Linked DNA regions of Macaca mulatta. The protein of the gene in region 3 binds, or shares a complex with, the protein of the main gene of each other region. Links are inferred from orthologs where the notes say so. Each region holds a gene or a part of one and is shown on either strand. Other genes may lie near its edges. The genes, in order: ERC1, PHLDB2 and PPFIA1.

Evidence for each region.
Region 1: PPFIA1 (region 3) and ERC1 share a complex: the UniProt entries of both Homo sapiens proteins name them as parts of the cortical microtubule stabilization complex. The link is inferred for Macaca mulatta from reciprocal best matches to the Homo sapiens genes PPFIA1 and ERC1.
Region 2: PPFIA1 (region 3) and PHLDB2 share a complex: the UniProt entries of both Homo sapiens proteins name them as parts of the cortical microtubule stabilization complex. The link is inferred for Macaca mulatta from reciprocal best matches to the Homo sapiens genes PPFIA1 and PHLDB2.

What each region holds. Positions count from the first base shown.
Region 1 is NC_133416.1:1,970,694-1,978,283, reverse strand, and holds part of ERC1 (ELKS/Rab6-interacting/CAST family member 1), read right to left. Parts: intron 6,318-7,590; coding exon 6,180-6,317; intron 4,931-6,179; coding exon 4,790-4,930; intron 3,564-4,789; coding exon 3,423-3,563; intron 1-3,422. UniProt on the Homo sapiens protein: Regulatory subunit of the IKK complex. Probably recruits IkappaBalpha/NFKBIA to the complex. May be involved in the organization of the cytomatrix at the nerve terminals active zone (CAZ) which regulates neurotransmitter release.
Region 2 is NC_133407.1:171,760,574-171,768,163, reverse strand, and holds part of PHLDB2 (pleckstrin homology-like domain family B member 2), read left to right. Parts: intron 1-1,656; coding exon 1,657-3,005; intron 3,006-7,590. UniProt on the Homo sapiens protein: Seems to be involved in the assembly of the postsynaptic apparatus. May play a role in acetyl-choline receptor (AChR) aggregation in the postsynaptic membrane.
Region 3 is NC_133419.1:4,392,623-4,400,840, forward strand, and holds the start of PPFIA1 (liprin-alpha-1), read right to left. Parts: upstream 4,729-8,218; 5' UTR 4,544-4,728; exon of another isoform or gene 4,535-4,543; intron 3,280-4,534; coding exon 3,016-3,279; intron 2,283-3,015; exon of another isoform or gene 1,605-2,282; intron 1-1,604. UniProt on the Homo sapiens protein: May regulate the disassembly of focal adhesions. May localize receptor-like tyrosine phosphatases type 2A at specific sites on the plasma membrane, possibly regulating their interaction with the extracellular environment and their association with substrates.

The DNA.
Region 1 (7,590 bases), on a different chromosome or scaffold from region 3:
AATAACAATATTTGTATAAAATGTCACCTTTGGACAAGAGAAGCTGATGTAACAGTGAATAATCCTCCTTAAAATACTGAGTTAAAGGTTAAGCTCTCCATCCACAGGCCTTGTTCTACTGAAAAATACCTACCTTTAACATTATTAAAACCTCAGTACTCATACTCATACACTGGAGGCAGATTTTGTTCTTTCATATTTCATACATGTTATAGTAAAACATGCAAGATTGCAAAAACATGCAGATAATCATATTCCCATAGAAATCAACATTTTCACCACATAAGCTATTTAATGAGAAAGTAAACACTAAGACAAGTTTTTTCCTTATTCAATAAACAACAAAACATATTCAGTCCCTTAAAATGGTTTCAAAAATTATTAAAGGGGTAAACATACATACTTAGGAAAGCTCTGATTCAAAGTACCTTGAGTAAAAGAGAAATGTTCATGTAAATTTTGTTAAATGCTTTGTGGAAGCAACAGAGGTACTTTCAAGATTAAGTCCTCTACCAATTTCTTTTGTTTCAGGTTTCATCAGTTGTCAAAATTCAGTTACTAAGCATGGCCTTTATAAAAGACTCTATTGGCAGATACATGATTTAATGTGTTAGCAAAACTGTACCCTAAACTGGTGTGTCTAAAAGCCACAACATGGTGGAAATAAAAGCAACGAGAAGCAGTCCTGAATTAATTAACTCACTAGGAACAGAACAAAGCAAAAGCAGCAGAAACGCAAACACTTTCCAAAGTACGAGGAACCTTTTCTATTTTGTAGTCACCTCAATATAGTTCAGAGGAATCATTTAAAAAAAAAACAGGCCGGGCGCGGTGGCTCACGCCTGTAATCCCAGCACTCTGGGAGGCCGAGGCGGGCGGATCACGAGGTCAGGAGATCGAGACCATCCTGGCTAACACGGTGAAACCCCGTCTCTACTAAAAATACAAAAAACTAGCCGGGCGAGGTGGTGGCGCCTGTAGTCCCAGCTACTCGGGAGGCTGAGGCAGGAGAATGGCGTAGACCCGGGAGGCGGAGCTTGCAGTGAGCGGAGATCCGGCCACTGCACCCCAGCCTGGACGGCAGAGCGAGACTCCGTCACAAAAAAAAAAAAAAACAAACAAAAAAACAAACCTAGAGTTCCTGTTTCGGGAAGGGAGAGATGAGAAGGTTAAGCATATTCATTTATCTATAGGGTGATAAAAATATCATTCACACAAAAGCCAGAAAAAAACTATCAACTGAGACTTTATGGCAACACTGGCGAGGCCACTGCTGGCTTGGATGAGAGGCTCCGCGCTATTACAGGATGCTGAAGACAGTAGGAAGCATCAGGGAGAAAAGAAGACAGAAAAGTAGAGAAAATGGTTTTAAGAGTAGGATAATCAAGGGAAAGAAAATTAATGGTTAAAAACATTTTAAAAAGCTTCAACAACAAAAATCAGAGCATAGAAATAAGTATTTCACTCTACAAGGAAAAAAAAAAGAATTAAGCATTTTAAAAATTCTGATAACTCAAGGCTGAGCATAGTGGTCTTGCTCCCAGCAGTTTGGGAGGCCATGGCAGAAGGATCTCTTGAGGCAGGGGTTTGAGACCAGCCTAGGCAACATGGCAAGACCTCTCCATTTTAAAAAAACAAAAGGCCGGGCGTGGTGGCTCACGCCTGTAATCACAGCACTTTGGGAGGCCAAGGCGGGTGGATCATGAGGTCAGGAATTCAAGACCAGCCTGGTCAACAAGGTGAAACCCCGTCTCTACTAAAAATACAAAAATTAGCCAGGCACGGTGGCACACGCCTATAAACCCAGCTACTATGGAGGCTGAGGCAGGAGAATCACCTGAGTCCAGGAGGCAGAGGTTGCAGTGAGACGAGATGGCGCCACTGCACTCCAACCTGGGTGACAGAGTGAGACTCCGTCTCAAAATTAACTTAGCCAGGTGTTGTGGCATGGGTCTGTTGTCCCAGCTCTTCGGGAAGATGAGGCAGAAGATCACTTAAACCCAGAAGTTTGAAGTCACAGAAAACTATGATTATGCTACTGCACTCCAGCCTGGACGACAGAGCAAGACCCTGTCTCCTAAAAACAAAGAAAAAAAGACCAAAAAAAATCTGGTATCTCAAAAGTTGAGTTTCAATCCTTTCCTTAATAAATTCTGAGGACATTATCTCATACTGAAGACATGGAATGCCAATATTCAGATACAGGATATAAATTCTTAAGCTATAAATAGGTCAAAAATGACTTCAATTATCATTACCTCAAGACCAGTCATTTCCCACTCCAAACAAAACAGAGAAGAAATCTACTTTAAAAATGTCAATGATAGGCACAGGCTTTTGAATAAATGTAAACTAGAACACTAATAATACACTAGTAATAGTTTCCAAGAAGAAAATATGCCAAATAGTCCTTTATGTAAATCTACACATAAGCTGTAAACCAAAAAACAGAGCCTAATGTAGAAGGTGAAGATAACGAAATTCTAGGCCTCATAAGCTGCTATGAAAAATTAAAAGTATAACAAGTAAAAAAAACTTTCTGACAACATGTGCCCTGTCTTTTTTAGAAAAATGCTAGGAAATTAACATTCTCCAAAATGAGATAAAATCTGAAACAGGATATTTAACAATTGTTCTGAGTCTCAGATCTTACTACACAGGTTAAATTAGAGAATACGCCCTCACTTATTCTTCTTTTTTGTGTATGTGAGATGGAGTTTTGCTCTGTCGCCCAGGCTGGAGTGCAGCGGCGGGATCTCGGCTCAATGCAACCTCTGCCTCCTGGGTTCAAGCGATTCTCCTGCCTCAGCCTCCTGAATAGCCGGGATTACAGGCCTGCACCACCACGCCTGGCTAATCTTTTGTGTGTTTTTAGTAGAGACGGGGTTTCGCCATGTTGGTCAGGCTGGTCTCGAACTCCTGACCTCATGATCCGCCCGCCTCGGCCTCCCAAAGTGCAGGATTACAGGCGTGAGCCACCGTTTTCTCTTTTTTTACGAGATGGGGTCTCACTCTGTGGCACAGGCTGGTGTCCAACTCCTGACATCAAGTAATCCTCCCACCTCAACCTCCCAAGTAGCTGGAATTACAGGCACGAGTTACCGCACCCGGCAGAAGTCTGATTCTAATGGAAGAAAAATGTCAGGTAACTGAGATTTTTACACTGTCGTCTCATATTTCACCCACGAGGGAGCTGCATATTTTAATTTTTCTCTGAACTGTCAATTTTCAAAGACTTGGGGGATTATCTTGAATAAAATAAAGTAGGATAAGAATGCTAAGATAATTAATTCAGGTATACATGGTATTTTTAAAGTTTGGGGGATTATTACTCCATTGGTAAATTATTTCATATAAACATGCCAAGGCTATGCTCTTATTTAAAGCAAAGCAAAAAAAAAATGTGAAAAATTTTCTTTAACCTTTTTCAATTGTGATTCCATTTTCAGACACTCCTCCTTCTTCTGCTCCAAAGCGATCTCTAGTGTCTTAAGCCGTGAGTCCTTTTTCAGTCCTGAGGACGCCAGAGAAGAAGCATGCTCTTTCAGATCCAGAAGTGAAGCCTAAAAGAAGCAACACACATCTAGAATAAATAACTATAAACAAAATAGAGATTTAAAATTTTAAATTTATCGTGGTAGCTGTAATTTCCTTTCCATTACCAAATGCTGACATATTTCCATTTCAAGGAAATTCATCATGAAATATAAAACAATATTAACTCTAGCTTTCAACTCTTAACAAATAAGATGGATTCTCAAGAAATACCAATTGAACAGTGATTTAAAGAGTTCTGTCAATACATACCCATTCTACAAAATAAACCAAAGTAGATCAAGCTTTGTGAATGTAAGTAGTCAAACCTCAGTAGCTACATTAACTTAAACAAAATACATTTTTCAGCCAGATACTTGTAATCCCAGCATTTTGGGAGGCTGAGGCAGGGGGATCACTTGAGGCCAGGAGTTCAAGACCAGCCTGGGCAACATAGCAAGACCCTGTCTTCACAAAAAAAAAAATTTTACCTTAGCTGGGCATGGTAGTGCACACGTATAGTCCCAGCTACTTGGAAGACTGACATAGGAAGATCCCTTGGGCTCAGGAGTTCAAGACTGCAGTGAGCTATGATAACGCCATTGCACTCCAGCCTGGGCAACAGAGTGAGACGCTATCTCTTAAAAGAAAAAAATAAATAAATCACATTTTTCCCTATTAAAAGAAAAATTCTATTAGGAATTTAAACTTCCATAACAATTCCTAAAGATATCAGAAAGAAAATCCACAGAAAGATGCTACAGTTCATGCATTATCACCATCTGATTACACAGCATGAGGCATCTTTGCTCTTCAGGTCATACTAACAGGATTCTCCAAAAGCAAGATTCAAGTAGATTAAGTCACCCAATTTAATAGCTGTTGTGTTCTTTGATAGTTGGTATACATAAAATTTCCTTCTTTTGCATATTCCTTTTATCTGTCAACTTTCTTATCTTTAGCACACTAGTTCTCCAAATGTATCTGAGCTTCAGTTACTTTAGGTCTATAAAAATATTAGTAAGTAAAAAACCAACATAAAACATAGTAACACTTAGAAAATGAATGAACCAATCCACTACGTCTCTGCAAAGCTTTCTGAAATATTCCTTAAGGTATCCACAAAAAGCCTGCTAAAAGAATATTAAGCATTTTCCATCGAATACTTTTGTACATGCATTATGAAAACACCAACAGCATACAGACACGTGCAATGATTAAGCAAACAAACTAATTCCATTTTGGTGAGCTTAACCTCTTTCTCTGAAAGGTCGCCTTGCAATAGGCTGACTTTTTCCTTCAAGTCTTTAAGATCTTTTTTGTAGTTATCAATTTCCTCTTGCTTCTCGCGCTCATCTCTGTCCCTCTGCTCCTTTAAGCGTTCAATTGTCCGCTCCTGATGAGAGAATAAATCAAGATGTGAGGAAATTCCCTTTTGCACTTATATGACTGTAATTCTGCTATTAGCTGATAAAATTTCAAACTTCTATGTTCAAAAGACAATGGTAAGTTTTTAAAGAATCCACTTTTTTTTTTGAGATAAGAGTTTTGCTCTTGTTGCCCAGGCTGGAGTGCAATGGCATGATCTTGGCTCACCGCAACCTCCGCCTCCTGGGTTCAAGTGATTCTCCTGCTTCAGCCTCCCAAGTAGCGTGCCACCACACCTGGCTAATTTTGTATTTTTAGTAGAGACGGGGTTTCTCCATGTTGGCCAGGCTGGTCTCGAACTTGTGACCTCAGGTGATCCGCCCGCCTTGGCTTCCCAAAGTGCTGCAATTACAGACATGAGCCATAGTGCCCAGCCAGAACACACTTTCTAAATAATTCATCCTTCTTATTCATCTTGCCATAACAAGGACATAGCTTTATTCATTTCAATCCCAAGGTTTCTTTTCTTATAATCTCAACTGGTATTTGATACCACTAAAGTATTCTTTTGGAATATTTCCGTTTATTCAATTTCCAGGTAACTAAAAGCTTACATATACACCCTAAGGGCAATAACTATCAAACATTTCTTCTCGATATATTACTCACATGTCGCCTACAAGGCAATGGGAACAACTCACAACTCACACACCGAAAAGGGGGAATGGGAAAGATGTTGATATATTGAGTTTAAAATATAAAGGAAGGTAAAGAAAAGAGAAATCATCAGAACTTTCTGTCAACAGATACTCAAGAAGTTTGAAAATCAGAGCAATTTGGCCAGGTGCAGGGACTCATGCCTGTAATCCCAACACTTTGGGAGGCCGAGGTGGGTGGATTACTTGAGGTCAGGAGTTCAAAACCGGTCTGGCCAACATGGCAAAACCCCGTCTCTACAGAAAACACAGAAGATTAGTTGGGCATAGTGGCTCATGCTTGTAATCCCAGCTACCTGGAAGGCTGAGGCAGGACAATCGCTTGAAACTGGGGGGTGGAACTTGCAGTGAGACAAGATCACACCACTGCCCTCCAGCCTGCGCACAGACTGTGACTCTATCTTAAAAAAAAAAAATTTCCCCTTCACACTACATATGTCAGCAAGAGCACACAGCAGTTCTTTTCCCTTTTGCCCACAGGGATTTCTTTTGTATTCTACACCCAGTCTTAGATTAATGAGAACGCAGAAAACGCGTGTGGAGTTGGGGACAGTCACTCACTTTCTCTGCAAGGGCCTCCTCCAAAGTTGTCAAGGCAGTGTCAGTGTTGGTGGTGTCGGCCTGCAAGGATTTGACCCGCTCTTTCAAGCTGCTCATCTGCTTTTCCTTATCTCTAAGCTGCTCTTGAAGATTTTCAATCTAAATGCACATAAATATTTAAGGGAAAAGAGAGGACATTTATAAAAACACAGCGGCACAATCAAAATCATTTCAATTTGAAAACAGTTCAGGGTTGTCTGTGTGTGCGCGTTCTGTAGAAATCATTTAATCCTAAGAGTTTCAGAATTACATGCAAAACCTTAAATTTGTAGGCAAATTGAATTTGTAGGAATTTGTAGGCAAAACAAAAAAAAGGTACACACGTGTATGGACACACACACACACACACACGCACTCACACACATACACACAAATCCCTAACAAAATAAGAAAAGTAGCTAGCAGAAAAGATCCAGTATAGAGATGGCCACGTAGAGAGGAAAGCCATGAGGACTAGAATTACTTCTAATATGACATTGTAAATGCCAAGAGGGATTCCTTGACAAAGAATAAAGGGAGGACAGAGAATAGAGCAGCTAAACAGCGAGAAAGACAAATCAGCTATATAAAGAAAAGGCTGTTCTTAAAGGCTAGTGTTATGTCAGTTTTATATCATCTTTTATCTAAGCAGCAAACATTTTCACAGCCATTCGTTCATACATACATGCATTCATTTACTTATATCATCTTTTATCTAAGCAGCAAACATTTTTGTGGCCATTCATTCATATACACTTATATGTGCTCATTTACTCAAAAACCATTTGTTGAATTCTTTATTACATGCCGGACACAACGGATATGAAGAAAAATGAATAGGCTCGTTTTTATTCCACTATGAGATGGTAAGAAAATGCATCATCACACAGCTGAAGCCAAGCTACAGAAGAGCTTGTGTACCAACCTAAGGAGCAAAGACGCTTGTGTACCAACCTAAGCAGCACAGACTTTATTCCAGAGAGGGGAACCATTAGAGATTTTTAAGCACAGAAATGGCCTGGCCAATTCTGTACTTTAAATAAGTAACAGTGCCAGTGTTGGCAGTGTCAGCATGCAAGGACCCGACCCATTCTTTCAACAAAAATTTAAGAGGACTTCGCATATAGACATCGAAAACCATTAGAGTTTGTATCAGTTCAGGCAAGATTATGGGGACTAAACATACTGTGAGATAACATTGTGGAAATAGCGCGTTATCACTCAAGCACAACAAGCAGCATGTTATCACTCAAGTACAAGGAGACTCAAGTACAATAAAAAAGTATTATTCAAGTATAATAAAAAAATCAAAACTATAAGGAAATTCTGAGGAGCTATCCTTAATAAGCTAAAGGAAAATTATAAATAAACCAACTACTCACAAAGTTCATTC
Region 2 (7,590 bases), on a different chromosome or scaffold from region 3:
CTGGTGTTGCTTTTAAAACCGGAATTGATAGCAGTTGACACATGCTGAGAAGAGTGTTTGTCTTGGAGGCAGAAAGGGCACTGTCCCAGAGGAAATGAAAGCCTTACCAAGAGCTAGATGGCAGGACTAGATGCCAGCTGGGAGCCAAATGTAATGAAGAAACTTCATTTTTTTTAGGTACATTTAAAAAGATAAATTATGTTTGTATCTATCTGGGCAGGGCTTTGGGTTAGAGGATAAGGAACCCAAGGCAGAGTTTGTTGGGGAGCACCTTTATGGGCAGTTGGGTACCTGGCCCATGACCAGGATTTATGCAGCCAGACTGTTTCGTGGTCTTGTGGATAAAGAAGGAGCTCTTTACTAGGCTGTCTGAATTTGCTCAGAAACTGTGTGAAGCTGAGCAACAGGGTGAAGGTCCTTAATCCATGGCTGAGAGGGAGTGAGGAAGGCTTTGATTAAAATGGAAAGCTTACATTCATTGAATTGCTCACCTCTGGGGCAACGAGAGCTAGAGGGGTGGAAGATAAAAATACTAGATATAACCTCTTCCTTAAACCTGTGGCCTAGTTACAAAGACAACCACATTATGAAACCATTACTAACCATATGTGATACTGTTTATATATAGACCAGAGATGTCATAATTAGTGTCTGATGTGCCTAAGGGTTGGAGGACAGTTTTAGTGGTTCATGAGTTCAATGACAATGTTTAAATTGTATTTTCACTTTACTGATAATCTAAGAAAAAAAATTTTAACAGGTAGAATTATAAGCCTTCCCATTTGCAGTAATAGTTTGTAATTAAAAGATATTTTCATAGGCTAAAACTTTAGTTCTTTAAGTTAACATTGTTCAAACCAGGGATGAAAACATATTTTCTTAAAAATTTTAATCGTGGAACATAGAATCCTGATCTATTCCCTGGAAGAGTGAGTAGGTCCTGATAGGATGAGCTTAGTGCATTTGGGGTACTAGAAAATTTGAAGGATATAACAGTTTCAGGTTTTTAAATATACCATCCTGATCACGTGTCAGTAATTGGTGGAATACTCTTTTCTTTGTTATTACCTGCCTCTGATGACTAAAGGAGCTTTAAGTCTTTTTGTTGAGAAGGTAAATCCCAGAGCCCTCGTTTAAAGAACCATCTTCTAACTCTCACGTTATTGATCAGTGTCTAACGTAAACTTTTCTTTTTCTGCCCAAACGTGAATTTTGTTTCCTCAGGACTTTATTTCTGAGCAGTTAATGATTCTAGCAGAGACATCTATAGTAAAGTCCATTGCATTATGCCTTTGGGCATTAGCTAGTCACTAGGGAAGCCGGTGTTCCTTGAAGGGCCAGAACATTAAGGAGAAATTGTCTTTTTTATGTCCCAACCTAATCCTGCGCCTTTACTTGGTTAGGGATTTGTTTCACTCAAATGTCATTGCTGTCCTTTTAAGTTATTTTTCTTTTGTACATAAGATATCTCAGATCAGTGATCTTCATTATCCTCTAATTTGCTGTATGGTTTTAACAGGTTTATTAGTAAAACTGAGTTTGTGTTTATTTGCATTAGGTCAGACCGCAAGATTATTTGTTCAGATGTAGGCCTAACAAGCGATTGTTCTTTTAAAATCTTTTTTAACGCAAAATTTTCTCTTCATTTCTTTACAGATTCCAGCAAGATTATGGAAGAGCATAGCTACATACAAAAGGAGCTAGATTTAGAAAATGGTAGCTTAGAGGAAGACGCTGTGGTGCATTCTGTTGAGAACAATTTCCAAAACATGATGGAGAGCCTCAGCCCAAAGAAATACTCTTCCAGTCTGAGATTTAAAGCCAATGGAGACTATTCTGGCTCCTATTTAACCCTCTCACAACCTGTGCCTGCAAAGAGAAGCCCTTCTCCTTTGGGAACCAGTGTGAAAAGCAGCCCCTCCTTAGCCAAAATCCAGGGAAGCAAGCAGTTCTCTTATGATGGAACTGACAAAAATATTGCTATGAAACCTCCAACTCCTTTACTCAGCACTACATCCTCCCTCAGCGGATATCCACTTGGAAGAGCAGACTTTGATCATTATACTGGCCGGGACAGTGAAAGGGCCTTGAGGCTCTCAGAGAAGCCTCCGTATTCCAAGTATAGCTCAAGGAATAAATCGCACGACAATGTCTACTTTCTCGGAGGGCTGGAAGGTCGGAAGGCATCTGGCTCGCTCCTGGCCATGTGGAATGGAAGTTCCCTGAGTGATGCTGGCCCCCCTCCTATCAGCAGATCGGGAGCTGCAAGCATGCCTTCAAGCCCAAAGCAAGCCAGGAAAATGAGCATTCAGGACAGCCTGACGCTTCAACCCAAGTTAACTAGACACAAGGAGCTTGCATCTGAAAACATCAATTTGAGAACTAGGAAGTACTCCAGCAGCAGCCTGAGTCACATGGGAGCCTACAGCCGATCACTTCCCAGGTTGTACAAAGCCACAGAGAACCAGCTGACACCTCTCAGCTTGCCTCCAAGAAACTCTCTGGGCAATTCCAAACGAACAAAACTTGGGGAAAAGGATCTACCTCATAGCATAATAGACAATGACAATTACCTTAATTTTTCTTCTTTGAGCTCAGGGGCTTTACCCTATAAAACCTCTGCTTCTGAAGGCAATCCTTATGTAAGTTCTACCCTCAGTGTCCCTGCCAGTCCTCGAGTGGCTCGGAAGATGCTTCTGGCCTCCACCTCTTCCTGCGCCTCTGATGACTTTGATCGGGCTTCATACGTGGGGACAAACCCGAGTCATTCACTTCTTGCTGGAGAGTCAGACAGAGTGTTTGCGACCAGGAGGAACTTCTCTTGTGGATCTGTGGAATTTGATGAGGCTGATTTGGAAAGCCTCAGACAGACCTCAGGAACCCCCCAGCCTGTCCTTCGGGAACGGAAAAGCAGCATTAGCTCCATTTCAGGACGTGATGACCTGATGGATTATCACCGGCGGCAGAGGGAAGAAAGACTGAGGGAGCAGGAGATGGAGCGATTGGTAATCATCTAACAGTGATTGACCTCACTGTTTCATTAACCAGCATCTACAGGGCAGCCTTGGAGATGGACTCCAGGATATGTGGGAATATAGGATATTCATGTTCACCAGCCACAGCTGCTGTCTTTCTCTTCTCTTCTGCTATATGCTTCTTCTTCCCATATCACTATTAATAGGCATGTTTGGCTATCTTGAAGGCCTCCAGGAATTAATGTTAATTTAGTTGCTCTGCGGACTTCTCACAAGTATAAATTCTTTAAAAACATAACAGAGGAGCTGCGAATTTTATGAAATTTCTGAGTCTTAACAAACTTCTCTTTAAGACTATGAGGAAATGCTGACTTGTATTATTTATATCATTAAATTTGCATGTGTATGGTTATGAGAGAAGTAGTCAGTGAAATCATGACTCACCAAGAATTAGGTAGTGAATTTGTCTTTATAGCAAGTTGTCTAGAAAGTTGGAGTTGCCTCAGTGGTGCTCAGCTTTTCTCCACACTGTTCATACACAACCTTACTATCTTTAGCTCTGATTCTTAGCACGTACAGTGACTCCAAACTACACATACAAGATCTATTGAGTTGTCTTTTTCCATTTAAAATGAATTTATACTTATTGAAAATAAGAAGACAGGAGGAAACATCCCTTGAGAGGCTCACCAATGAATGAGAACAGACAACTGCTTTTTCCCATTCTCTTTTAAGCACAGGTTTTTCTCTTTTAGAATGAATACCTGTCAGAGATTACTTTGATTCATTTTTGATTCGTGATTTCCTTAACGAGAGAAGCTGCAGGATAGTGAAGCTGATTTACAACAACACTATAGCATTATCAGAAGTATTTTAGTTGCTAAAATATTCTAGAATATGATTTTTGAATCACAAAACTGGTTAATACCCTATAGGACAATAAAATTGTAACCCAGCCTTGTCCAACCTGTGGCCTGTGGGCCGCACATGGCCCACAATGGCTTTGAATGTCATCCCATACAAACTCAAACTTTCTTAAAACATGATGAGATTTTTTTTGCCTTTTTTTTTTTTTTTCTAAGTTCATCAGCTATCGTTAGTGTATTTTATGTGTGGCCCAAGACAGTTCTTCTTCTCCAGTGTGTACCAGGATTGGACACACCTGTTGTAACCTTTGGATTATAATGGACGGAAACCATTTGCATCCATCCAGTAGGAAGTATGTTTGACATTTTAGAGCAGTAATCATTTGCATCACTTATAGTTTTTGATAAGTTGATGTCTGTTCTTACAGAGTTTTCAAATATCCTAACTGACAATGGTGAATGAAAACAAATGTGCATAACCTTAGAGAATTTAGATAGTCTTTAGGTGGGTCAGTTATACAGTACTCAGTATGACATTCCTCTTTATTATCATAAATAATCTCTGCAGACTGTTCTTGGTCACAAAATGGCATTGTGTTTGGGCTTGCTTCATTGACAGAAATTCAGAAGATGTTTTAATTAGCATACAAAAGTCTTGTTTATGGACAGCAAATATAATGCTATACCATGCAAAGCAACTGTTATTTATAAAGCCAGAATATTAACTTCTATCCGATAACAAGGAATCTGGGAGAGCATTTTTAATGGCTTCCATTACTCTGGACGTCTTCCTTAAATGCTTCTATTTGCTCTTCTATTCCAAGGATAGGCAACCAAACTCAAGAAATTCATCTCTGCTAGCTTTCATGTTCAGCATCTCTAAGTGTTGGTGAATTTCTCTTTCCTCCAGATTTTCCCAATCTGGTATGATTCTTGGCAATCCAGGAAGTGACCTTCTGTACTGCCTGTAAGGTTGGGCCCGTTAAGTCATAAACAGTTTTGACTTCTTGGGAGAGCTTTGTGGATATTGCTGTAAATATGAAGTTATATATATTTTTTCTTTAATAGTGGACTTATCGTATCTGTTGAAATGAGGTTTATTTTTAAATTTGACACTCTAGGCTTGATCTTGGTTGCATAGTCTATTTGTTTGACTACATTGTGGTAAAAGGGATGACAGATTCTTATCAAGCCTATGCAAATTATGATATTGCCATTAAAAAGTAAAGTGACTCAGATTACTTCCTGAATTCTCAGAGATCAGTGAGAACAATTTACCATTAAAATAATATTTCATTTAGTTTGCAAAATCAGAGTTAGCTGAATAGAGGATTAGAGATAGAGCAGTATGAATGCCAAAGCATTTTCCCCCTAAAAAATAGAACATTAAAAATAATACTAGTAATATTCCAAAACACATATCCACTTTTAGAAATTCAATTTTTATTACAATTCAATCACTTCTATGTAATTAATTCTTATTCCTCTGTTTCTTGGGCTCTTAATTTGGTTTCATGCAGTCATCTATTTCTGGACTAAAAAGTCCTGAAAATCTGATTTGGGTGCCTAGTACTGTCTAATTTTCTCTATGCAATTCTTTGAAATATTAAGAGTTAAGAATACCTGGTAAAGTTCTGTCCACAAGGTTCTAAAACTGTCTTTTCTTTGTTAACGAGATATTGTATTTTGTAGGCAAGCTCACGGGGAAAGTAGAGAATACTTGGTGAATGTAAGAGTTAAGTGGCTGTGGTTAATTTAACAAACAATATCAGCATGAAGGAGAGTTAAAATCCTTTAAATCAGTTTTTTAAGAACATATTACAGAGAGTGAGGGCACTGGCATATATTCAGGGCCTTTCTGTAAAGTACCCAATCTTTGAACATTACCTATAATATTAAAAATCATATTTTACCTGTATAAAATTATCTTAAGGGCAGGCGACTTCCTCATTTGATTTGAGAAATTTTTAGGGGCGCAGTGAGCAAACCTAATTATTTCTAGCCTCTTTCTTTTTGTAAAATTAAAAAACAATTCTTTGTGATTGCCCAGAGGTTCTCTGGGAAAACGTAAAAGTGGTTCAGAAATAGATATCTTGGAATTTTTTTTTTCTTCTGTATTTAGGGTCTGCCTGATCTTGAAGGCAAAATGAGAGGTTTTGTCACTTGAGTCATAAAGAATGGTGTATACCTGAGAGTAGTGAATGTTTGTGGTTTGGCTGTTTAATCAAATGGCAATGGATTATTTTATGATGAGCAAGAAGCCTCAAATCGTTCAAAAATGAAGAAAACTCTTTTTGTTATTTTAAATATGCAAGAATACGTTCCAATCAGCGCAAAGCTCAGGAAAACTCTTGTAAGATACTAGTCTCTGTTCTTTGGGCAGATTATGTGGAATAACCTTTTACTGCCTTTTACAAGCATCGACTGATTTCTCCAAGTTCAGTCTGTCATTTCAATAGCAATAACTGCATTTTAGTTTTACATTAACAGGGTGCTTGTCATATATTACATTTTTAATGCATTACATTAAACATACTTTATGAATAATTGCATCAAAATCATGCAAACTTTGCCAAATTCTTAAAATTTTGTTACTTCTTTATAGCCTTTTTATTTGCAAGCATTATAAACCAAGTTAAATCTAACTCCCCTTTTGCAGATCTGCAATTTTCTGTTTCCATCAACTTCTGCTCTTCATTGTGCTCTTCCACATTCTGGAACAACCAGACACACATCAAAAATACTTAAAGGTATTAGAAATTATGTTCAAGCTAACACATCACAGGACATAATTACGGAAAATGTGAAAAGGTTGGTCACAGTTATAATTCAGTTTAGGTGAGCAAAAAGTTTATATTTTTCTTAATATTATGGACGTAATCTTAGCTTATGTTTTTGGCAAACTAATAAAAGGCAGTTTAAAAGTTCAGGTAAACTAATCTCTTCATCATAAAACATTCAAGTTTTTTTTAAAAAATGAGATTATACTTGTATTATACTATACATTGATGAAACAAGGAAAAGATGTATAGCTGTTTTGTTGTTGTTGTTTTTAAAATGTATTTTCTTTCTTAAAAGTTATATTTGCCCATGACACAGCCCCAGGAGATTCTGAGAACATGTGTCCCTAAAGGTGTTTTTAAAACCAAATTATCAAATCAGGTCTTTTTTTTTTTTTTTAAGAGAGCACAGTTAGACTGGGTGAGGTGGCTTATACTTGTAATCCCAGTACTTTGGGAGGCCAAGGTGGGAGGATCACTTGAGCCCAGGAATTTGAGACCAGCCCAGGCAACATGGCAAAACCCTGTCTCTACAAAAAATACAAAAATTAGCTGGGTGTGGTGGTGCACACCTGTAGTCCCAGCTACTTGGGAGGCTGAGGTGGGAGTATTGATTAAGCTCAGGAGATTGAGGCTGCAGTGAGCCAGCCATGTTCATGCCACTGAACTCCAGCCCGGGTGGCAGAGTGAGACCCCATTATTTAAAAAAGCACCTTTAAAGCATTAGAATTTCACAAAATTTACTTCAAGAAAATAAATTCTTGAAATTCTGGGAATGTTAGATTTCTCTAACTACTTGTTAGTCTCTGTAAACCAATCAGAACAGTAGGCCTCCTCTATTTAATTTATTATTATCCTTGGGAGATAGAAAAATATTTCACCTACACAGAGTATTTCCCCCTCCCCCCGCCCCCAGGTAGAGAGACAGATGAAAGGTTTATGGCATAAGTCCTACAGCTCCAATTACAG
Region 3 (8,218 bases):
TCGTGAATATAAATGCAATAATCCTAAACAAAATATTACCAAATACAATCCAGTAAAAGGAGAATACATCAAGATCAGGTTGGAATTATTCTACAATTGTAAATCTTTTTTAAAAGGGAGGTGCTCTTTCTCAGGAGTTCCTGAGGTTGTTTCCCCAGGCTACAAACAATAAGCAATTAAAAAAAAAAAAAAAAAGCAAGGCGCAGTGACGTGCATCTATAATTCCAACTACCTGAGAGGCTGAGTGGGAAGATCACTTTAGCCCAGGAGTTCAAGGCTACAGAGAGCTATGATGGCGCCACTGCACTCGGGGCTGGGTAATGGAGCAAGACCCCACCTCAAAAATAAACAAACAAATAAAAACAGTTAAATTCCCACATAACAGAAAAATCACATGACTGTCTCAAAAGATGCAGAAAATCCATGTTAAGAAATATAACATCTGCTCATGGTATTTAAAAAACTCTTGGCAAACTAAGAAGAGAAGAATTTTTACATCTGGATAAAGAACATCTACAGGGCCAGGTGTGGTGGCTCACAATGGAAATCCCAGCACTTTGGGAGACCAAGGAGAGAGGATTGCTGGAGACAATAGTCTGGGCAACCGAGTGAGAACCTTTTTCTTAAATTACCAGATCTCAAGACAGACTATATCTATGGTAATTTAGACATTGTGCTATTTATGCAAAGATGACAAAAAGATCAAAGGAGCAGAAGAGAGTCCAGAAACAGACCCACACACTTACAGTCACTGGACTGAGATGACATAGATGACACTGCATGTAGTACACTGGGGAAAGAATGGTCTTTTTAAGAAATTATGCAGGGTCAACTAGATATCCATTAAAAAAAAAAAAAAAGAGACTCTTGGCCCCATCACATACCATAAACAAAGTCAATTTCAGACAGAAGATTTAAAAATACAGTTTTCAGAAGACAATGTAGAGTATCTTCATGAACTTGACCTAGCAAATTTCTTAAGCAGGACACAAAGAGCATTAAACATTACTGAAAAGATTGATCAACTGGGCTACATTAAAAATTTAAAACTTCTGTGTATCAAAAGATACCACTGAGAAAGTGAAAAGGTAAACACGAGAGTCTAAAAACAATCTGTCATGCACATATGTACTCAGAATATAGAGAAAACTCCTTCAAATCAGTAAGAAACAAAATAGACAACCCAACCAACCGATGGGCAAAAGATAACCGTCTCACAAGACATCCAGATGGTCAGTGAACACAGGAAGAGATGCTTTACCTCTGCATGTTCCTGGCCATCAGGGAGCAGCAAATTCAGACCATACTGAGCCACCTACCAGCTAACAGCCACCAGAACAGCTAAAATTAAAAGACCCAACAAGGCCGGGTGCGGTGGCTCAAAACTGTAATCCCAGCACTTTGGGAGGCTGAGACGAGTGGATCACGAGGTCAGGAGATCGAAATCATCCTGGCTAACACGGTGAAACCCCATCTCTACTAAAAAATACGAAAAACTAGCCGGGCGAGGTGGCGGGCGCCTGTAGTCCCAGCTACTCGGGAGGCTGAGGCAGGAGAATGGCGTAAACCCAGAAGGCGGAGCTTGCAGTGAGCTGAGATTGCACCACTGCACTCCAGCCTGGGGGACAGAGCAAGACTCCGTCTCAAAAAAAAAAAAAAAATTGTAGTAATAAAATTCGACCTTCATAAACTTAGTATTTTATAAGATTAAAATGAGAAAAATCTTAATGATTCTCTAATCCAACAAAAAAGGAACATACAGCTCTAATGTCAAATCATTGTTGCTATAAAGGAAACCCACGTTTGGCTTATCAATCTTCCCAGAGAACTGACTACAGCCAAGAAATACATTAAGGCTAGTAATTATTCATTTACTAAGTTATCACTGCAGACCCATCATGTGAGTATAAATGTGTGTTTCTGCGGGTCTACCTGAATGCACCCCAAAGGCACTTAGGATGAGTAACATGGGGCCTAGACAGCTCTGAAACACCTAAGTAACCCACTTCTCTCCCACTATGCTCCGTGACACTCACCTGACACTTTTCTAGTTTTTACACTTTCTCCCTTTACCTACCATTAAGCAAATCCTCATTCAACTCCATGAGCAAAGTCTTTCAAACACTGGTCCAAATGTAATATACTCAGAGAAATAATTTCAGTTGTTCTAAGCTTTAAATTTTTTTTTTTTTTTTTTTGAGACAGTGGTGCAATCTTGGCTCCTCTGCAACCTCTGCCTCCCTGTCTCAAGTGATTCTTATGCCTCAGCCTCTGAGTAGCTGGGACTACAGGTGTGTGTTACCACGCTCCACTAATTTTTGTATTTTTGGTAGAGACAGGGTTTTGCCATGTTGGCCAGGCTGGTCTCAAACTCCTGACCTCAGGTGATCCGCCTGCCTTAGCCTCCCAAAGTGCTGGGATTACAGGCATGAGCCAACACACCCGGCCTAAGCTTTAAAATTCTCGTCTACCAAGGAAGAAGTTCCTAAGGAATCAATCTCCAGTCTTCTATCCCCTAAAACAAATGTGACTTACAAAACCTAGATGTTCTGATAAAGGTGGGCTATCAAAACAGTATTTTTTTTCTGTGAAATCCTATTTGTCTACTAAATTATATTAGGAAATTAGAAACACATGAGACACAATCCATGGGAAGCACAAGTTTAGCAAGAGAAGGTTGAAGACAACAGAACGGAGGCACCACATAGATTGGTTGCTTCAGAGCCCTTTTTCAGAAACTCTGGAGAACTTCCTGAACCTAGGCAGTTCCCAAAGATAGGAATGAAAATAATGAGGTATTTTCACATGACTTTAGAGTACAACAATTTGTTCTCCCTAAGAAGTTTAATCCCTAGGAACTTTGTATTTGACTTAGAAACACCAGAAACCATCATTTCACAAATGGTTATGGAAAATACTCATCTGAAACATTAACAAAAGATGACACCAATTAAAAAAAAAAAAAACATTTAGTGGAGAATAATCTACAGAGTCTCAAGTTAAAAGCACTCATACCTGTGGAAGTGCCGTGTTGAGCTGTCTCTGCAAGGAATCTCTTTCATGACCAACCTCATGTAACTTCCCCTGGGTTAAGGCCAGTGTTTCTTGAGTCTCCCTCAGTGTGTCAAGAAGGCGGTCCCTTTCTTCCAACATGGAGACCATCAACTGTTCAAAATGTGAATCTGCGTCTGGCTGCGAAGGGGAGCCGGAACCATGGCTTCCACCTCCTCCAGGGGGGCCTTCTGCTTCGCTGATGGTCGGCATCACCTCGCACATCATCTTGAAATGAAAGAGCCAGGCTACAGTCATCAAGTGCAGAATACAGGTTCCCACAAATATGCAACTTTACAGGTATCTGTAGCTAAAAAGAGGGGCAGCCTCATTATCCTCAGATCTGTTACGCTTTGTGTGTAAATAAGCTGGGAAAACATATACCGGGCAAATATTAAGTGCAGAAATACACAACATGAAGACATTAACACAGACAAAAATCCAGGGAAGGGGTCAAGATACCAGAGGACTACCCTCACAAAAAAGGGCAAACCCTGGGGTAGTCTGTTTGCAAAGCTGTACTTGTTTTTGTCGAAAACAAGTGTGCTTCTGTTACCTAATTTTTTTTTACTTCCCAGTGGGGGGTGGGGGGGGGAGAAGAAAGTCAAAACACATGTCACCCAATCATTTTTCAGGAAAAGCACAGAAGGAGCATACAGCCAGCAAAACTGACAAGTACAAAATCCATCAGGCATCTTGCAGGAATGTGTGCAGTCAGCTCCTGTGAAGAACTGACGGCTCCCTGAATTCTTGAGCTGGAGCTGGTGAGCACTAAAAGGAACTGGATTCGTTAAACGCTGGCAGAAGTGTTTTTTTTCAATGGCTGCAACGGTTGATCAGTCAACCTAACTTACGTAAGTTTACAACCGAAAAAAAAAAAACTCACAATGGAAATATAGCAGGTCGATATACAGCCGGAGGCGGCTAGGAAAGAGGGAAAAGTGAAAGGTGAGATGATGAGAGGCATTAAGTGTCTGGGATATAAAGACAGCGCGAGGGGATGGGGAAGTCGCTTCTGAGTCTTTCGGGCAGTATTCGGGGCGCGATGGACCCCTGAGAGAGGATGGCCCAGGCGGCGCACCTGATGGGGATGACCTCCAGCCTGCTCGAACCGTACTCCTTCCCCTCCTGTATCAGGTGCGGCGGGAGCCCCGGACCCCGGAGGTGAGGACCGTTGACAACGGAGCCCGCTCGGGCCGGGGCTTTCAGCGGCCGCAGTTCCCCGCCCCTCGCCCCAGCGCCCAGGTCACGGGGCGCAGGGCTCGGGGAGGGGCGGCGCGCAGTCCCCGGAGCCATCCCTCGGGGCGCTGGGGTCCCGCCAGAGCTCTCCCAGCGCGACCCGGCGCCGCGGCCTCGCCCCCACCCGCCCCGGAGCGCACCCTTCCTCGCGAACACATCCAACCGGCTGCGTGGCCGCCGCGGAGACCGGGACCAGCCGGTGACGCCTGGGCCCCGAGCCTGCCTCAGTGTCCCGCTCCCTTACCTTGCTCACCGGCGGGAGCGGGCGAGGAGGCTCCGCGGCGGCTCGCGGGCGGCTGCTCGCTCCGGGCGAGCTTGGGAGCCGACGAAGGCAGCCCGCGGCCGGCGTCCGCCTGCCCGCCCCACGCCGCGGCCCCGGGGCCCGCCGCCCCAGTCACTAAGGCCGGCCCGCGGCCGGACACTGGCGGAGCGGAGGAGGAGCGGGCCCGGCTGCGCGGCGCCGGCGTCGACGTGCCCGACGTCGAGCGCGTCGGCGCGAGCGTCAGCACCGCCCCGGGGGCGGGGCCCGAGGAGGACCGCGGCCCGAGTGCGCAAGCGCTGTCGCCTCAGGAGGGGGCGGGCGGCTGCTCCGGGGAACTGATTGGCTGAGCGAGACGGGAGCCACGCCCCCAGGCCCCGCCCGGGTCGGTGGGGGGTCTCCGGGATGAGCCACAGGTGGGCGCTCAGGTGCTCGCCGGGTCAGCGTCTTCCTCCGGGCATCCCTAGTCTCCTCCCACTGCTGCGGGGACGCCGGCGGCCTTTGCCGAGTATGTGCCGCGCCTCGGGTTCTGAGGCGGACGCGTCCCGCACGTCAGGTCCCTCCCGAGCTGGAGGCGCTGGATTCGCACCTTGTGAGGAAGAGCGAGCCGAGGCTTCAGCCACTGCCGCGGGCCCAGACCCCGCCCGCCGCGTCGCTCCCAGGGTCTCCCCGGGCCTGATCGGGGTTCAGCAGGACGCGGTTCCCGCCAGGACCCACTTACGGAGCGCAGCCTGCTGCACCTGGGGACGCTCCGGCGCAGCGTCCAGCGTGCAGGCTTTGCCGCTGTGGCTTTCACTCTGCAGCGTGGGCCCGGGCGATTCGGGAAGCCCGCCTGGGCTTCAGCGCCTCCGATGTAGGATGGGAAAATGATGCAGACCTACCTGCGAGGCTGCTTTAAGATATGAATCAGATGTGGAGTGACTAGTTGAGAACCTGACGGGCGGCCCTACAGAAGTCTTGGTCATTTCATTCTTTCCGCAAGTTTTGTTTTGTTTTGTTTTCCCAGACGTTGTTTCACTCTCGTCGCCCGGGCTGGAGTGCAATGGCGCCATCTCGGCTCACTGCAACCTCTGCCTCCGGGTTCAAGTGAGTCTCCTGCCTCAGCCTCCCGAGTAGCTGGGATTACAGGCGCACGCCACCTAGTCCAGCTAATTTTGTATTTTTAGTAGAGACGGGGTTTCTCCATATTGGTCAGGCTGGTCTTGAACTCCCGACCTCACGTGGTCTGCCCGCCTCGGCTTCCCAAAGTGCTGGGATTACAGGCGTGAGCCACTGCGCCCGGCCTCAGCAAGCATTTTTAAACACCTACTGTGGGCCAAGTCTTGTGCTAGATGTTGTATTTACGGAGATGAATAGAGACACCTCTAATTAATGAAAGAGGATGCTCTCCCCACTCCTCCCAGGGTTTGACTTGGCGCAAAAACTCTTCACAAACCAGAATGACAGGACACCATCGCCAGTGTCCACTGGCCACCGTTGTTGGTGTGAGGCAGCCAGGAGCCCCTCAGAACTGATAAGTCTGAGAAGAGACTGCACAGGGGAGGGAGAAATGAGCCCGTCCAAGGTGAATTCCTTGATTGTCCATTGTGAGTGCACTAAGAACAAGCACTGCCTCCGACTGACTTTCTCGCCTGCCAGGATCTGGTACACCTTCCATTAATTTATTAGTTCATTCAATAAATATTTATTGACTGATTACACATAAATATGAATTTGTACTTTTTGCCCCTAGTTTCTTGCTATTTTAAAAGTGTAAAAATGGCCAGGTGAGGCCGGGTGTGGTGGCTCACGCCTGTAATCCCAGCACTTTGGGAGACCCAGGTGGGGAGATCACTTGAGGTCAGGAGTTCAAAACCAGCCTGGCCAACATGGTGAAACCCCATCCCTACTAAAAATACAAAAATTAGTCAGGTGTGGTGGCGGGCATCTGTAATCCCAGCTACTCGGGAGGCTGAGGTGAAAGAATAGCTTGAACCTGGGAGGTGGAGGTTGCAATGAGCCGAGATCATGCCACTGCACTCCAGCCTGGGAGACAGAGCGAGACTCTGTCTCAAAAAAAAAAAAAAAATTGGCCAGGTGCAGTGGCTCACGTCTGTAATCCCAGCACACTGGGAGTCCAACGTGGGAGGATTGCTTGAGCCTGGGCAATATATCGAGACCTGCGTCTATACAAAAAATTAAAAATTAGTCCAGCGAGGTGGGCCACGCCTGTAGTCCCAGCTACTTGGGGGGCTGAGGTGGGAGGATTGCTTGAGTCTGAGAGGTCGAGGCTGCACTGAGCTGTGATTGTGCCACTGCACTCCAGCCTGGGTGCCAAAGCGAGACTCTGTCTCAAAAATAAAAAATAAAATTGTGAAGATGATCACTTAGATGAGGTGTTCTGCAAGTACCCTGTACCTTTCCACATGCCAGCAATTCTGCACCACTCCCAAGTTCCCCTGAACCACTGTCCAAAACCAGCAAATTTCCAGCTCTCCTTAGGGGTACCTGCTTAATGCAGCCAGGTATGTTTGCACCATGCTCATAAAGTGTCTGTTTTCTAAGAAATCGGCTCAAGATCAAAATTTAGTTCAGCAGGGTAGAATGTTCATTCATTTCATGGACATTTGTGGAGCATGTATGAGCCAAGCATGGCTTAGGTTTTGGGAACACAGAGCTAAGACATCACTTCTAGTATGAGTTCACAGTCTGGAGGAGAGAAGAAAATCAGACTATTGCAATGTCTGTCCCATAAACAGTGTATATGACTTGGTGCTGTGGAATCACAGGGAAGGGAGGAACCCTCTCTCCAGCTGGCATCATGGGGGTTTCATAGAGGAGGCAATATCTGAGCTGGGTCTTGAATGATGTGGGATTTTTCCAGTGGAGAAGGGAGACACCCAGTTGGTATAGCTCCAGGAAAATGAAAATTCCGAATTTCATTCATTTTATGCCTGCCTGCCTGCCTGCCTGCCTGCCTTCCTTCCTTCCTTCCTTCCTTCCTTCCTTCCTTCCTTCCTTCCTTCCTTCCTCTCTTCCTCTCTCTCCCTCCCCTCCCCTCCCTTCCCCTTGCCCTTCCTTCCTTCTTTTTCTCTTTTTTTTTTTTGAGACAGGATCTCATTTAGTTACCTAGGCTGAGGTATAGTGGTTCGAACACAGTTTACTGCAGCCTCTACTTCCCAGGCCCAATCAATCCTCTCACCTCAGCTCCCCGACAAGTAGCTGGGACTACCGGCACAGACCACCATGCCTGGCTAACTTTTTTGTATTTTTGGTAGAAAAGAGGTTTCACCATGTTACCCAGGATGGTCTCAAACTCCGGAGCTCAAGCAATCCACCCACCTCGCCCTCCCAAAGTGCTGGAATTACAGGCATGAGCCACCACTCATGGCCCTCATGCATTTTAATTCATTGATTTCATTCCCCCAGATTGGAAATCGGTAAGGGAGAAATCGTAAACAACCTAAATGGCCAAGAAAACAAAATTGGTTAAATTATTGCACTTCCAAATGACAGAAAAGTTGATGACATTCACAGCCTTTTTTTTTTTTGAGACTGAATCTTGCCCTGTCGCCTAGGCTGGAGTGCAGTGGCGTGATCTCGGCTCACTGTGGTCTCCATCTCATAGGGTTCCAGCGATTCTCCTGCCTCAGCCTCCCGAGTAGCTGGGATTACAGGCACACCTGGCTA